2 linked regions of the Alligator mississippiensis genome follow. The protein of the gene in region 1 purifies or fractionates together with the protein of each later gene. This does not show direct contact. Links are inferred from orthologs where the notes say so. Each region holds a gene or a part of one and is shown in the gene's direction. Other genes may lie near its edges.

The links.
Region 2: the proteins of FYB1 (region 1) and LCP2 purify together in Homo sapiens (co-immunoprecipitation; 6 studies listed by BioGRID and IntAct, with this or other methods). This does not show direct contact. The link is inferred for Alligator mississippiensis from reciprocal best matches to the Homo sapiens genes FYB1 and LCP2.

The regions. Positions count from the first base shown.
Region 1 is NC_081826.1:276,867,000-276,874,757, forward strand, and holds the start of FYB1 (FYN-binding protein 1), read left to right. Parts: upstream 1-4,706; 5' UTR 4,707-4,841; intron 4,842-7,758. UniProt on the Homo sapiens protein: Acts as an adapter protein of the FYN and LCP2 signaling cascades in T-cells. May play a role in linking T-cell signaling to remodeling of the actin cytoskeleton. Modulates the expression of IL2. Involved in platelet activation.
Region 2 is NC_081832.1:49,569,574-49,576,510, forward strand, and holds the start of LCP2 (lymphocyte cytosolic protein 2), read left to right. Parts: upstream 1-3,926; 5' UTR 3,927-4,154; coding exon 4,155-4,232; intron 4,233-6,937. UniProt on the Homo sapiens protein: Adapter protein primarily involved in signaling pathways within T-cells, as well as other immune cells such as platelets, mast cells, and natural killer (NK) cells.

The DNA.
Region 1 (7,758 bases):
AATAAGTTATCCTAGACACATTCTTGCTCACTGTATTTATGTCACCTCTGTGTTCAAGAAAGAGGGGCATAGGCGATGCATAGGGGGGGACCCCCCTGAGATTGGCCGCCGTCGAAACCGCTTCCGGCTTCTGGGGGTGGTTGCTGCCCTCCCCCTGTCAACACAGCTGTCGGCAGCTGCAGGTGGTCCCTGCTTGCCACTTGACACCACCAACAGAGCAGACGGCAGCTGCAAGGGGCCCCCGCTTGCTGCCTGCTGCTCGCCACCCTGCCCCCCAACTGCCGACACTGCCGGCACCAGCTGTGGGCAGTGCCCACTTGCCCCTCATCCCTCACCACTGACGGTGCGGGCCATGGCTGCAGGTGGTCCCCGCTCATCACTCACTGCCATGGTGCCCCCCAGTCATTCTGGGAGGCACCAGTCATTCATGAAGAGGGGAAAAGGGGGAGAAGGAATTGCATCCAGTCTGAGGACTGGCGATAATTGGTTCTTACCTCCTGGTCCAGCTGTCCAACGCTTCAAAAAGAGAGCAAGCATTTTTTTGCCTGCTTGCTAATGGAGCCATCTCCTGGCCTAAAGATGGCAACTGTTATCACAGCTGACTATGTGAGCTAGTTCTTCCCTCTTGTTTTTGTTTCTGTTTTGATTGGCTGAGGAAATGGACTTGGCAGAACCAGCAGTTTGTGAATAAATTCAGACTATTTTATTACAACAGTTAATTTCAATTTTAAGAAGTTTAAGAGAAAAGGTTCTGGACTTTGTAATGTATAGATTTCCCCTGTTGCTTTTAGATTTATTGTTGGGTAGGATAATTAAGGTATTAAAGTTTTAAACCATGAGAATAAGCCCTAAAATTATCAAAGTATTACTAGCAATAGGTATCAGTAAATAACACCCAAGTACCCCATAATCAACTACACTAGGTGGTTTGATTTGGTGAATGGCAGGGTAGTAGAGGATTACATGGGAGTGGAGAGCTGCCTGAATCCCTCATCTCTTCATTTTTCAACTGTTTTAAAGCTTAACTCTGGTTTATAACATTTTTGGTCAACTGATAGCTTTGGAAGGATGTGGAAGCAGGAGGGTGATAGTTGTATGTTCACCCCTGAATGGTCTTTAAGATTCCTTTTTTGGCTTATTTCTAAGATAAATATCAGGAAAGTTCTGATTTACTTCAATCTTCTTTATTTTAAAATATTTTTAAAGTAAATATAAGCACCACTTTATGTGTTATGTGACCTAGGTATTAACAGCCACCACAATATAGGGCTGATGTCTCAAATTTGAGTTAAATATCTGGGAAAGATAATGGCAAGAAATTTCAAGATAGTGTTTATGGATAAAGTGTAACCGAGCTATATATGAAGTCCTTTCACCTAGGAAGTCGGAGGGAAAACTTTGGAGGAACATAAAGCTAGAATAGACCTCAGGGCCGCAGCCAGACAAGTGAGGATGTGTGGTTCCCTGGGGACAAGTAGCAGTGGCACACTTTGTGCTGCCAATACCTGTCCCCAAGGAACACCTGCGCGCACACACTTTGCCACACGCACTTTGGTGTGCGGCAAGTTACCTCAGGCGGGGTAGGGCAGAGGTTCCCAAGCACCAGGCTGTGGCCCAGTTGCAGGCCATAAAGGGTTGGCTGCCAGGTCGTGGCAGGAGCCCCCTGCTCAGACCCCCATCTGTCCACCAAAGCAAGCAGCTTCCGCTGCCAGCAGTCATGTGTGGGGCTAAAGCTGGCAGCGGGGCAGCCCCAGGAGGTAGGCAGTTGGCTCCGCCACTCCCGTGCTGGTCTGTACTATAAAAAAGGTTGGGAACCACTGGGATAGGGCCCAGTACTGGACCCAGCAGTCTTACCTTGGGTCCTGAGGGCCTCCTTGGGCTGCAGCAGTGGTGATTCCAGTGCAGAGAGCCTGGCAGGCAGCCGGGGTATGACTCCAGGTGGCCCAGCTCCACTTTTGAATGGCGTGTGCTGCCCATGCTTGTATTCCTCTACTGCAGGGGTAAAAAAACATGGCAGAAAAGAAAGTGGAGCAACGCACACATGGGCAGCACAGCCTTGCAGTGTGGAGAATATCTAAATGTGCAGTATGTGGCACCACAGATGTGTTTGCAGCGCCACATACCACACGGCTGCACTTGTCCAGACACAGCCCAGGAGATCACTTGGTCCAACCCCATCTTCTCAAGCAAGGCAGGATCATCTATCCCATTACAGTCTTATACATAGAAATGACCAGTAATGGGGCTTCCACAGCCCCTTTTGACAAACTACTCCAGTGCTTAACTAACCAAAGAGCACAAAAGGAAGCTAAGATACCCTGCCTTCAGTAGAAGCCCATGGTAGGTGCATCTTTCAAAATCTTACCTATGCAGGCCAAAGGTGGGTGAAATGTGCAAAGAATAAGAGAAAGTAACTAGACTGAGGGGCACCTTGAATGAGCCACAGCACAGGTGGGTTGTGTGGCACCTTGTTAGAAAGTCACTGTAACGGGTCGTTCCTCCTTTATTCTGGCCCAAAAGCCAGTTTCCTCACAAAGGCCAGTCGGCTCTTAGGGTGCAGACAGAAGTGCAGCTCGCCCCTGTAACTCAGAATGATTTCTGCAAAGCGTTCTGAGTCACAACGTTACCTCAGACCAAACAGACGTTCACTGCTGGTTCCAGGAGGGAGGGGATCTAGCCGGGCTGGGAGCCTGCAGTCAGGTTCTTATAGCAATGGCCACTGCTCTCTGCCAGGGCTCGCTGTTCGCAGACTAGGAAGGGGAAAGGCAGTGGAGGGAGTTCATTCTTGGGACACCCCAGACAGTGCTAGAGGGTGGGGTGGGTGAATTGGAGCCCCCCCACTCCTAGGGGGGACTCCAATACCGCCACCCCACCCTCCAAGGGGTGCTCAAAACCCTCCAGACTGAACTCCCTCCACACCCTTTCCCCCCCCCCCATTCTGCAAACACCCACAAGCTGAGAGCCCTGCAGCCACAAGTTACAAATGACCCCTCATACAATGCTTATCTGATCCCTCATACAATGCTGGGTCATATTTTCACCCAGTCAGCCATTTTGAAGCTTTCTGCAGGTGTGCATTTGTGTTTGGTCGCTGCTACAAGTTGCTTTCTGTGGCCAGATTAGGTGAAAACTGTTGATTCTGTCTGCACCCCACAGTTTCAATTTCTAGTCCATTTATTTTACATGTGGAAAGCTTTCTCCCACAGCAAACAGAGCATGCAACAACAAAAGCAAACATCCAAATAACAAAAAAAAAGGTAAAACCTCTGGTCTTTCCTCAGACCGAGAAAGAGAGAGAGAGGTTATCAAGGGGCTGTGCTTTTCACTCAGCGTACCAGCCTCCTCTAACCCCCTGCAGCCGGGCTCCAGCCCCTGCGCCATGCACCTTGTTATAGTCAATAAGATTAATTAGCAATTTGGGATTGGACAGCTGTAACAGGGGAAAGAGCTAGTTTGGTGTCTGAGTTACATGGGAAAGCTACCGAAGCCAGGCCTTTCCACCCCTGACACAGCACAATTTGCATGAATTCTGGCAAAATATTTGCATTCTCTTGCACATTTTTCTTCTCAGGCAGAAAGGGAAGGCTGTATGAGAGTGGAGAAGGGGAAGTACAGCAGTATGTGCTAATTCAAGTTGTTCCTCCTGCCTTTCCCCTTCCTCTACCTCCTTCTCACCAGTCAGCTGCTGAGGGAAACAGCATGTGGGGAAAAGCATTTCTGCAGCAGAGAAACTGGAGCAGCTTCTGCTTCTCTGGTAAAGCTACTTCTGCCCCTCCCTAGTTCCTTCTCTGCTTGTGTGTGAAGCTTTCTGATCAAGGGGCTCCTAAAGTTAATCTAGGAAGTCAGCTTGGAGAAGGGCTGTGTACATGGGCAGGACAAGCCAACAGCCCCTCATACCCTCACGGGGCTAAGTGGGGTCCTGGCGCAACACCTCTTCCCATGTGAAGGCTGTAAGTATTTGCTCTGCAGTGCCGGTCTTCTACCACAAGGTCCTGCTGCGGTGCTGCTGAGCTCAGCTTCTGCTCTCTTCTGCCCTCCCCTAGCTGAAAGAAACAGCCTGGAGGGGTGGGAACCGGCAGCCCTATCGTGTAGGTCTTGCTAACTACAGTAGATCCACCCTCCCGGACACCCCTCCAAACTCAAGCAACCAGCATCACCTCCCAGTAACTACCTCAGCAGCACCATGCTCCCCACTGTGCTTACATCCACCTATGTCTTCTCAAGTTCCACCCTAGCACAGGTGCCAGGTACCTTCCAGGGTCCCTACACAGCTACCCTCAATACCCTAGTGTGCCCTCCATCACCCCAGACTCCTTCCGCTCACCCTGGCAAAACCTGCCAAATTCCCTATAGCAGCAGGTTCTTTTGTCTTGGAGCAGGGTATGGGGGCCATAAAATGGTGCATTGTGGTTCAGTGCAGATAATCTACATGATAAGTGATGGAATGATTTGCCTACATGGTCACATGTGGAGGTGCAGCTGTGGTGAAGGGGCACCCTGTGTAATTGTAATTGCTGTGGGGGTGACAATGACACCCATGTCCAGCAAACAGCGCAGTGCCTGGGAGTGGCAGTGGGGGGAGATACATACGTTCTCAAAGGAGACGCTGCATAAGGGTTTCATATCAAGAGGCAGAGACGTCATTAACTTTCATTTTTGGAAGTGTATCGGGTACATCTCATTCCAGTTGCTGAACGGTGTTTAACCAACACCTCCTGAATTTTTTTAAGGGTTTTCTACTCCCTTATGATGATCTATTAGGTGGGCTCCACGGCCCCATTCTCCTGGTCCAAACTCTGGTTTGCTGCACAGCAGTTTCAGTGTCAACTCTACTTCTGCTGGTAAGTACCCTGTGGAGGGGGCCTAGGGAAAGAGGGCTCGATAGCAACAAAGGGTGAAACTGATGGGAAGAGCCTGACCTACAGGCTATTGAACTTAACGGAACAAACCAAGTACTGTTAAAAGCCAAATAATGTGCATCCCCCTGCTTCCTCCCCACCCAAAGAAGAAAAGCTCAGAGAGAACATGCATTTTTCTCTAATCACTTTAATTGGGCTGCTCTTAAAGAGTCTCTTAAAACAAGTGATCAAGAGCCAGGTTTGCACTGGGAGTGAGGTGCAATGGCACAGAGCATTCCCTCAGCCAAAAAATAGGGGCCTGGTGCCAAAGGTGGATTCACAAACCCAGGTTAGGTGCCTAAGTTCCTTCTACTTTACGTGAGAAAGGTTAGGTGCAAGGACTCATCTTCAGAAGACTCAGTATGCTGAGTAGACAGACACATTAACCAGGCAATAGGAAATACTGGTGGGAGTGGTGTATTTGAAATTTTCCCTATATTCTGAATCAAGGCAGCCATTAGAGACCTATGTGAAACAGGGATTCAAAGCCCAACCCCACCTCTTAGACACAAATGTATCCTGCAGCTGAACTCTAGGCACCTAAGAAAGTTTGTAGTGAAAATGTAGGCTTTTATGGGGTCTTGAACACCTAAGGGAGTCAGACTGCTGGAGATCTATAAACTGCCCTCTTGGATTTAGATGCCTAAAATGGGACTGCAGTAAAATGTAGGCATCCAAGTTTCTCTGTGAATCTTGCCCAATGTCATTTTCAAATTGACACTGTCACTTCTTAGGCTTTAAAATGATCAGTGCTTATAAGCAGTAGGTAAAGAGAAGCACATAGAGATTATAGATCTCAAGTATGGGAATTGCACATGTTGGCTCCAACCTGATCCTTCAGTGTCATAGGCTCAGGGAGCCTGTAGTTGCCCATTGCTGCCAACAGGGCTCAAGGCAGGTACTGTTGTCTTTCCATGTGCCTCACATTGCATTATGAGGTTGGGCCTTAGAACCTAATCCCACGCTGATTAAACTCAAAAGGAGGCTTCTCATTGACTTGAATGGGTTAAAATTAGGTCTTTACCGATATCCCTCAATAGGAGGATGATGTCTGCTGGGGGCAGTGAGGGGATTACTAGTGAGTTTTAAGGTGGCTGAGGAATCCAATCTGTGCTCTGCAAGTTTTTCCATAGACATGACAAGTGGTGCCTTCGGGCGGGCGCAGCTGTTGGCCAGGATGTTGTGTACTTTCCTTCCTCCTCTGCCGTTTCTCCGCGTCCTGAGCAAGACAGTTCTCTTCAAAGTGAGCTATAGCTTGATGTATGGTGCAGCAGCCAGCAATTCCCAATTTGTAGGATTGATGCCACCCTTCTTAAAGTGTGCTTTCAGGGTGTCCATGTAGCGCTTCCTCTGTCCTCCGTGGATCTTTGTACTATGACTAAATTGAGAGAAGAGGACTTGCTTTGGGAGATGAGTGTCAGATATCCATACACAGTGACCAGCCCAGCAGAGTTGATGTATCGTGATCTTTGCCTCGATGCTGGCTATGGTAGCTGCAGAGAGGGTGTTGGCATTGGTTCAGTGGTCTTCTCATCTAATGCAAAGGATCTTTCTGAGGCAATGCTCATGGAACCAATATATAAGCTTATTGATATATAAGCCAGGTAAAATGTACTTGCTGCCTTGAATATGCCTCTTCTTAAGGAAGACCACCTAATCAAATCTACTTAACTGACAGCACTTTAAATGAGGGACATCTTTTTTTTTACATAGTTCTGTTTATTTTTAGTTTATCAGCATTATAAGTGTCCAAGCTACTTCTGCTTTGCCAGATAATTTCAGTCATCTCATGCTAAGGAAACTGCCCAAAATAGTTTGTCGCATTCATAATGGAAATGGTGGAGGTAGCTGCATGGTGTTGCAGCGGAACCCAAGAGAGCAGTGGAATAGGATGGATCAGAAGCAAATGTATCCACTTGGGCTTCAGTCATAGCTTTTCAGGCTGAAATGAGTAGGTCAGCAAAGACAATGATTTGAAATGAAAATGTAAGCAGGAGGTGAAAACTGAGAATTGTGTTTGTAAGAATGCATGCCAACTGTGACATACTGATTGTTGTGTATGTGTACCACTACCTTCTGCTGGACAGAATGACAGGCTTAAGTGAGGGCACATGAGGGATCATGTTCTCCACTGACTAAAGCTCAGTGAAAGTATAAATACAAACACTTCTGCAGCTAAAATAACATCTAGTAGCAAAGTCCTATGTATTTCTTTTCATCCAGAAGATCCTGACTCCTGTTTTCCTGCTAATTGTGAGTCTGTTTTATATAAGCAGCCAGTGACTTATCCCATTATACGTGTCCATACACATACATGTGCATATATATGCACCTACTTAGAGAAGTGGGGGCACATTTTTGGAGAGTAAAATACATACACCCTAACCATTACAATGTGGATGGTGCTGCCTTTTCTTTAGTAAAAGCAAACATAATGTGGATTGAAGGTTTTAATACCATATTCTACTACTTTACTTGACTTTGAGACGCGTATTTTATCTTCAGTTCCACTAGAGATATTTGAATATTGGAAAATAGGTTCTCAGCATCTGAGCTTGACCGACGATAATCTTTATAAACAATGTAAATACTGTATTATAAAAATAATTTAAAAGAGGAAGGGGGAGGGGGAGGCAGTGTTTCAGGGGAGAGCCTATTCATCAGCTGACAGAAATCCTACTTTGTAAAACAATTCTAAAACATCCTAACTCATTCTACCAAAACTTCTACCTGTAGACACCAGAACTTTGAATAATTCTCTTGGCATAATTTAATCAGGTAATTACTAAATTTAAACTTTTCGCAGAAGCTAAATACTCAAAACCCTTTAAAATGTCAGCCTAATGGAGGCTGTTACTCA
Region 2 (6,937 bases), on another chromosome or scaffold:
ACACTTCAAGAGGGATGTGGCTAGCATTGAGAGGGTCCAGAGGAGGGCCACTTGCATGGTAAAGGGGCAGCGGGTCAGGACCTATGAAGAGAGGCTAAAGGGCCTGAATCTATGCAGCCTCCACAAGAGAAGGCTGAGAGGGGATCTGGTGGCCATTTATAAACTCACCAGGGGGGACCAGCAGAAATTGGGTGAAGCCCTGTTTTCTCGGGCACCACTGGGGGTTACTAGGAATAATGGCCACAAACTGTTAGAGAGAAGGTTCATCAGGAGACATTACTTTATGGTTAGGGCTGCCAGGCTCTGGAACGGACTCCCAAGGGACGTGGTACAATCTCCTCCCCTGGGGATCTTCAAGAGGAGGCTAGACAGAGATTTGACTGGGGTGTTATGACCCCGGCACTCATTCCTGCCCAGGGCAGGGGGTCAGACCTGATGATCTGTTTAGGTCCCTTCCGACCCTAAGCACCATGATACTATGAAACTAAGGGTAAGCAAGCGATTACTAGACAGCGGAAAGAAACTGATAGATAAGAAAAGTTACAGGTCATCACAGAAGTAGAGTTCCATATAGTGATTATGAAGGGATAGCTAGAAATATGTAACAATATAAAGATATCCAACTGGTGTAAAAAACAAGGATTCTTTAGTGTGCGTTGTATTAATGTTTGTAACATAGAATAAAGGGGATTACATTAAGAAAGGGAAAATTATGACAAATTCAAAAAACCCTTCAAGTCAGATGCAACTGAGGATGGAACAGTGGAGGAAGAGCGGAGGAAGATCTGTTAGTTGGAGAGTATTAAAACTAAATTGGTCAAAAGAAAAAAGACAAAATGTCCAACTCTGTAGGGTTGTGGAGTTTTACTTCATGTTAATTTAAAGATTTATGAGCTTCATGTGTGCAATGAGACAGCTCTGGAAAAATGAAAATGTAAACCAATGTGTTGTGGAAAAAGTCATTATGAAAGCAGTTAGACATGAGTTCCATCTTCCAATAAGGTCCATCCACGATGTAATCTTCTGCCTTCCTCAGACAGGAAAGAGAGGGTGGAAAGTGTTAATGCTTTTTTAACCCTGAAGAGCGTGGGCAGTATGGGCTTCCTTTTTGAACTGTCAGCTCCAAAACACTAAGAATCTCAAGTACTATTTAAACCAGTGTAGCTATAACCAATGGGCAATTTCATTGTTAGCCTATATTTGTAAGTACTTGAAGAGTTACCCTCTAAAGTGAAGTTCATTATCAGTGGAGGTTTTTCAGATAAAAAGCTATAAAATTATCTCAGTCTAGTAACCAGTAATAGTTACTATGAGTAAATTGGTTACGTTCCCACTCCAAGAAGAATACTACTACTGGTGAAATATCCAGTAGTAACCAATTAACACAGTGGTGATGTGATTATCAGGAGCTGATACTAGGGATGGGAGGGTGGGGTTGCGGGGACAAGGTTTCTGGCAGGGAACTGAAACAATGCCAAATTAAACTGTAGTGGTGAATTATCCGACAGGCTAATTAACTAGAGTTTACTGTATTTCTCACTTTTAAGGGACTGCAGGTCTTCACAAAAGGGTGACATTCTGAGATGCAAAATTCATGCAACATAGCATACTGTGAAAGGGATGTTATCTTGTACTCTCCTCTCCTGAAGACTTCACATGCCTTTTTCCTTCTTTTTTGAAGGTTCTTCACTTCTCTTTGCTTGTGGACATACAAAATTTGAGTGGGTTTGGGGATGTGACTGATCAACTCTATTTCCCCTTCTACTGCTTTCTACTTGCCCCATCTCATTCATCCACCCACTATTGTTTCCACAGCTATCGCTCGGACTACCTCTCTCAAGGATCAGTCTATGCTCCTTCCTACCAGTTAAGCCCTCCAAGCTGCCTTAGCCACCAACCCCTCTGGGCCTGCTTAGATCCTTCAACCTTTCCTTCTCTTCCCAGTACTTAAATCCACTCTTTAAATCTCCTCTTTAATCCTTATTTTGGTTACAATATCCTGCCATCATGGAACTCAACCTGGTCTACTCACCTTTTCACTAAGGTCCAAAGATAAAGACGAGTCAGATAGGTGAGGTGAAAGGGGAAGAATTATTATTGTGAGGAACAACAGTGACTACAGAGAAATAGGGAGAGAAGACAACAAAGTAGCTATGGAAATGGTGAGAGGGCAGAAATTATGAGTAATTAACTGAAATCTAAAGCTGGAAATAAAGGAAAAAATATATCTTTTATTTCAGTTACCACGTGACTGAATACCCTGTCCCACATTGTAATGGTGGGCAGTTGACACACACACACACACAGACACACTGTTCACACTGGGCGGGCAACCTTTTTATCTGAGCAAGTGACCAACATTTTCCACTGATAAAATACAACAGGAAATTGCATGATAAACAATTACATTAATGCAAAAATTTGGATGAAAATTTCAACAGGAAATTCAATATTATGTTTCCCCAGCAGCCTGTATTTGTCTATGATGTCGTATGCATTTATCAAAACGAACAAACCACTATTCAAAGAAAAAAACCCAGACATCTTTACACAGATCAGGTGTAACATTTTTTCAAAATGTGTGAAGTGTGCAGGTATACATGACAGAGGTATACTGTATAGCAAACACTATTCCTACTCAGGCCCATAAACTACCAGACCTCATCCCTGTCACTAAACCATGACTGGATAATACTTCTACAGCACCTTGTATCAGCATGACTTTGGGAGGAAATTCTGTTTTGGGGCAAGGGGAAGGGAGAATAAAGTAAATTTTCTCAAAGTATCTTTTTAATGGAATGTGTTTAAAGCCGCTAGGAAGTTTGGATTATCAGTCTCAGTAAGGAAGCTGAAAGTGGGAAGTGTAGATGAGTTAAAGGAACACAGTAGGATCAATTTATCATAACTCTGGGGTCTGTCACATAACCCCTATCATCTCATGCAGAGGTATAATGGGACAGTTTTGCACCCTGGGCAGCAGTAGCATACAAGGCAGAAGCTACAACTGAGCTGCTAGCAATATAACAACCTAGAGAGCAGCAGCAATGGCTGCTGTTTTTGCACACTCCTGAAGTCAATACCTCAGGTTGGTTCCCTGGTTGCCCGCTTTTAATTAGGCTACCAATCTCAGAATTCAATACTTTATTGCTCAGGCTCAGGGTGGTGACCACTAGGCCTGCATATAAAATGCAGGAGAAATCATTACAATTTAATTTTAAAAATTCATTTAAACCTGGAACTTCTAAATATTTCCTCCGGTTCTAATTATGACTTTATATCACTGAGGTACTGTTTATGTATTGACTCCATAACTATATCTGAGCATCTATCCTCATGCACAAATGTAACACTAACTTGGTACTGTACCCTTGTGTATAAAAAATACCATACGCTCAGACTATGTACATATGATTGTAGAAAATACATGGAACTATTTCAGAGACTACTGCTAAGAGCTTGCATAACTGCATGAGCCAGAGGAATTTGTTTTATGTGTTATTTTACATGTTATTATTTTTACACGTTAGAAAGGTAAGGGAGTATTTATTAATATAAGTAGTTAATCTGTCATCTGGGGTGACAAGAAATGCAAAAGAAAGTTCCTTTATGTAGGTATTTCCTCATTTTTTTAGGTATCGCATGGCTACATTTGCACTTAAGCAAATTTAACTCAAAAGCAACAGTCTTTTTCAGGAATCCTCATGTATATACATGCACACAATACAGAGTCTAGGTACCAGTATATTTATATGGGTATCTCATGTAAATACACAACCCTTCCCACTTAAATTCAGATGAAAAGGGCTCATACAGATTTCACTTACATGCAGCAGGCAGAATATTTTAAACATGTTATTGCGCTTCCTTGTTTACTTATTTAGATTCACATATAAAGGAAGTGGTAAGCCTGACTAGCTGACAAGTTTTCTGAGAAGAGACCATTTTGTACTGAGAGGAAGCAGGGGCTCTCTTGAATGCTCTTACACCATAATTCAGAAATAAGAAGTCAGTATTTAACAAAAGAAGTTCTGAGCATGTATTAGGCAAGGAGATTATTAAACTTGCTGGAAGTGGTCTCAGACAAGAAGTCTATGCTGTTTCATCAATACTCTTGGCATGAAAATTCTGTAACCTCCTAGGAAATTAAAACTAAAATGGATTTGCGAAACATTCCTTATCGCTCAGATGTGGCTGCTTGGAACCCAGATGAACTAGCAGAGTACTTTAAAACAGTAAGTTTCACTGTGTTTTGCCCTCGAATAGTTGAAAAACAAATGACTGTAACATACTTTAAGCATGTGTGTGTGTGTACATACACACACACACATATATATAGTATGTATATGTATAGATATAGATATAGAACCCTGGGGAATCCTTCTTGATACCTCCTCTCAACTAGACATAACAAGTCTATAGATATAGATATAACCTGTCTATATATATAGATATATATGTATTACATGTTATGTCTAGTTGAGAGGAGGTATCAAGAAGGATTCCCCAGGGTTCTATCCTGGGTCTGGTATTGTTTAATATCTTCATTAATGATTTGGATGACAGGACTGAGTGTGTGCTTAGCAAATTTATGGATAACACCAAGCTTTGGGTGGAATTTCAGACACTCTGGAGGGCAAAGCTAGAATCCAGGATGACCTGGACAGACTGGAGAAATGGTACAGAATCAGTCAGATGAAACTGAACAGGGACAAGTGCAATGTCCTACACTTGGGACAGAATAACTGCATGCACAAATACAGACTTCATTACTGTAGGCTTCAGTAGTGCAGAGGCTTCAGTACTGCAGAGAAAGACCTGTGGATTACAGTAGACCATAAACTGAATATAAAGCAACAATGCGCCCTCATTACAAAACAATCCAACAGTATCCTGGGTTTGTATAAACTGGAGTATCACTTGGAAATCAAGAAAAGGGATTCTTCCACTCTATTCAGCAATAGTGAGAGGATTTACATAAATTAGTGTGCCTAGTTTTGGGCCCTGCACTTCAAGAAGGATATGGACAGTTTGAAAAGAGTCCAGCGCAGGGCAACAAAATTGATCGGGGCCTTGACAGACCAGACTTATGAGAAAAGATTGAAAAAAGTAGGGTTACTTAGCCTGAAGAAGAGGAGCCTGAGGTGGGATGGGGTGGGAGGGAGGGGGTGAAATTTGATCACAGTCATGGAATATCAGAAGGGCGATTATAGAGAGGATGGATGTAAATGGGCTCTTCTCTGGGGCTGTAGGGGACAGGACTTGGAGCAATGACCCCAAATTGCAGCAGGGGAAATTTAAGTTGGAGATTAGGAGGAACTTTTTGAGTACAGGGGTGTTCAGGCTTTGGAACAGGCTACCTAGAGAAGTCATGGAATCTCCATCCTTGGAAATGTCAAAAGCAGGTTAGACAGACACTTGGCAGAGATAGTTTAGTCAGAGATGATCCTATTTTGTGCAGGAGTCTAGCCTAGATTACCTTATGAGGTCCTTTCCAGCTCTACTTTCCTATGAGCCTACTCAGATGCACAAACGCACATTATTTAAAACAAGAGCACAATCTGTGGCACAAATAATTTCAAATGATCTTTTAGAAATCAAAACATGCCCCATAAAAAGTCATTGTATTCTATATTGATCTCATGAAGACTTTTTTAAATTCTGAAAATATATATGTTAAATTAATAGCAAAGAAACTAATAGCTTCTAAAGGAAGCAAGAAAAAAATGCTTTGTAAGGATGTCTCATTTAGTTTGGTGCTGTAAAAATTATACGCTTAACACAGTAACTCTAGTTTTAAAGGTAGAAAAGTGTTAAATGTTGGTCATATATGGTGTCTCCAGTAAGCTAATTCCTGTATCTAAATATCTTCAGTTTTAGGACCCACTATAAACTTGAGTGCATTATAAAACTGTGTTATAGCCTAGAGCTCAATTTAAAGCTATAGTACCTTGTGTTTGCTGGACTATAGGGAAAACCTGACAGGAACCCTGACACAAAGTGTTTCAGTATTTGTACTGCGATTTTTGGAAGCCTACAGAGTGTTAGATTCTTAAATTCACTAAGGATTTGCTACTCAGATCACTTATGCTCCTTTAAAAAGCCAGCCTGGAAATCCACATACCTAGCCTTTTAATGACCATAAAATGAAGCCTGCTTCTTTGTCAGGCAACACTCCCAATTAGTTCCGTAAACTTCCTTGGGACTTTCCATATGAATAAGTACTGCTCTGTCTAAGCAAGGGCGGCAGACTATTTGCCCTAGAGATTTATTCCAGTGCTTTCAGTAGATATTAATTCCCAAAGACAAATATATTTTGCTGTCTCACAACAGAACAATTCATAACTATATTTCCGCTGCTTTTTTATAAAAAAATGGAAGAAAAATTCTTGGAAGTTTTGATTCAAATAAAAAGGAGGGCAGCTTCAGGATCCAAGTGGACCTGTTCCTCACCCCAGTTCCCCCACGTATCATGTTCTCCACACTATTTCCTTAAGAGAGAGGGCCTTCCTCAGAATTCCTAGGCAGAATTTTTTAGCTACAGTAGCATTTCCTGTAATGCACTAGGCCAAAGGAGTGGAAGCCTCAAACCCCTCATTGCTTATGACCTCTTTCAGCTTAGCACTCTATAAAAAAAATTATAACATAATGGGCCAAATTCACTGCTGCTTTACATTCTGTGGAATCTTCCTGGCACTGGTGAGTTTGAACAGGGATCATATGAGTAGAGAATTTGGTTCATTCATGTTAAAAATTATATCTTTTCTCTTCCACGTATTTATTTCTCTATAGCTCTACAACGTTCCCTAATTTTTAATATTCAGCAGAAATATCCATCTGTGCTTCCATTTTAGCTAAGAATTACATTTACAAAAAAAATGAAATAAAAATCCAAAAACTTCCATCTGAAATTATAAACCAGATTGACCTAAATGTTTCT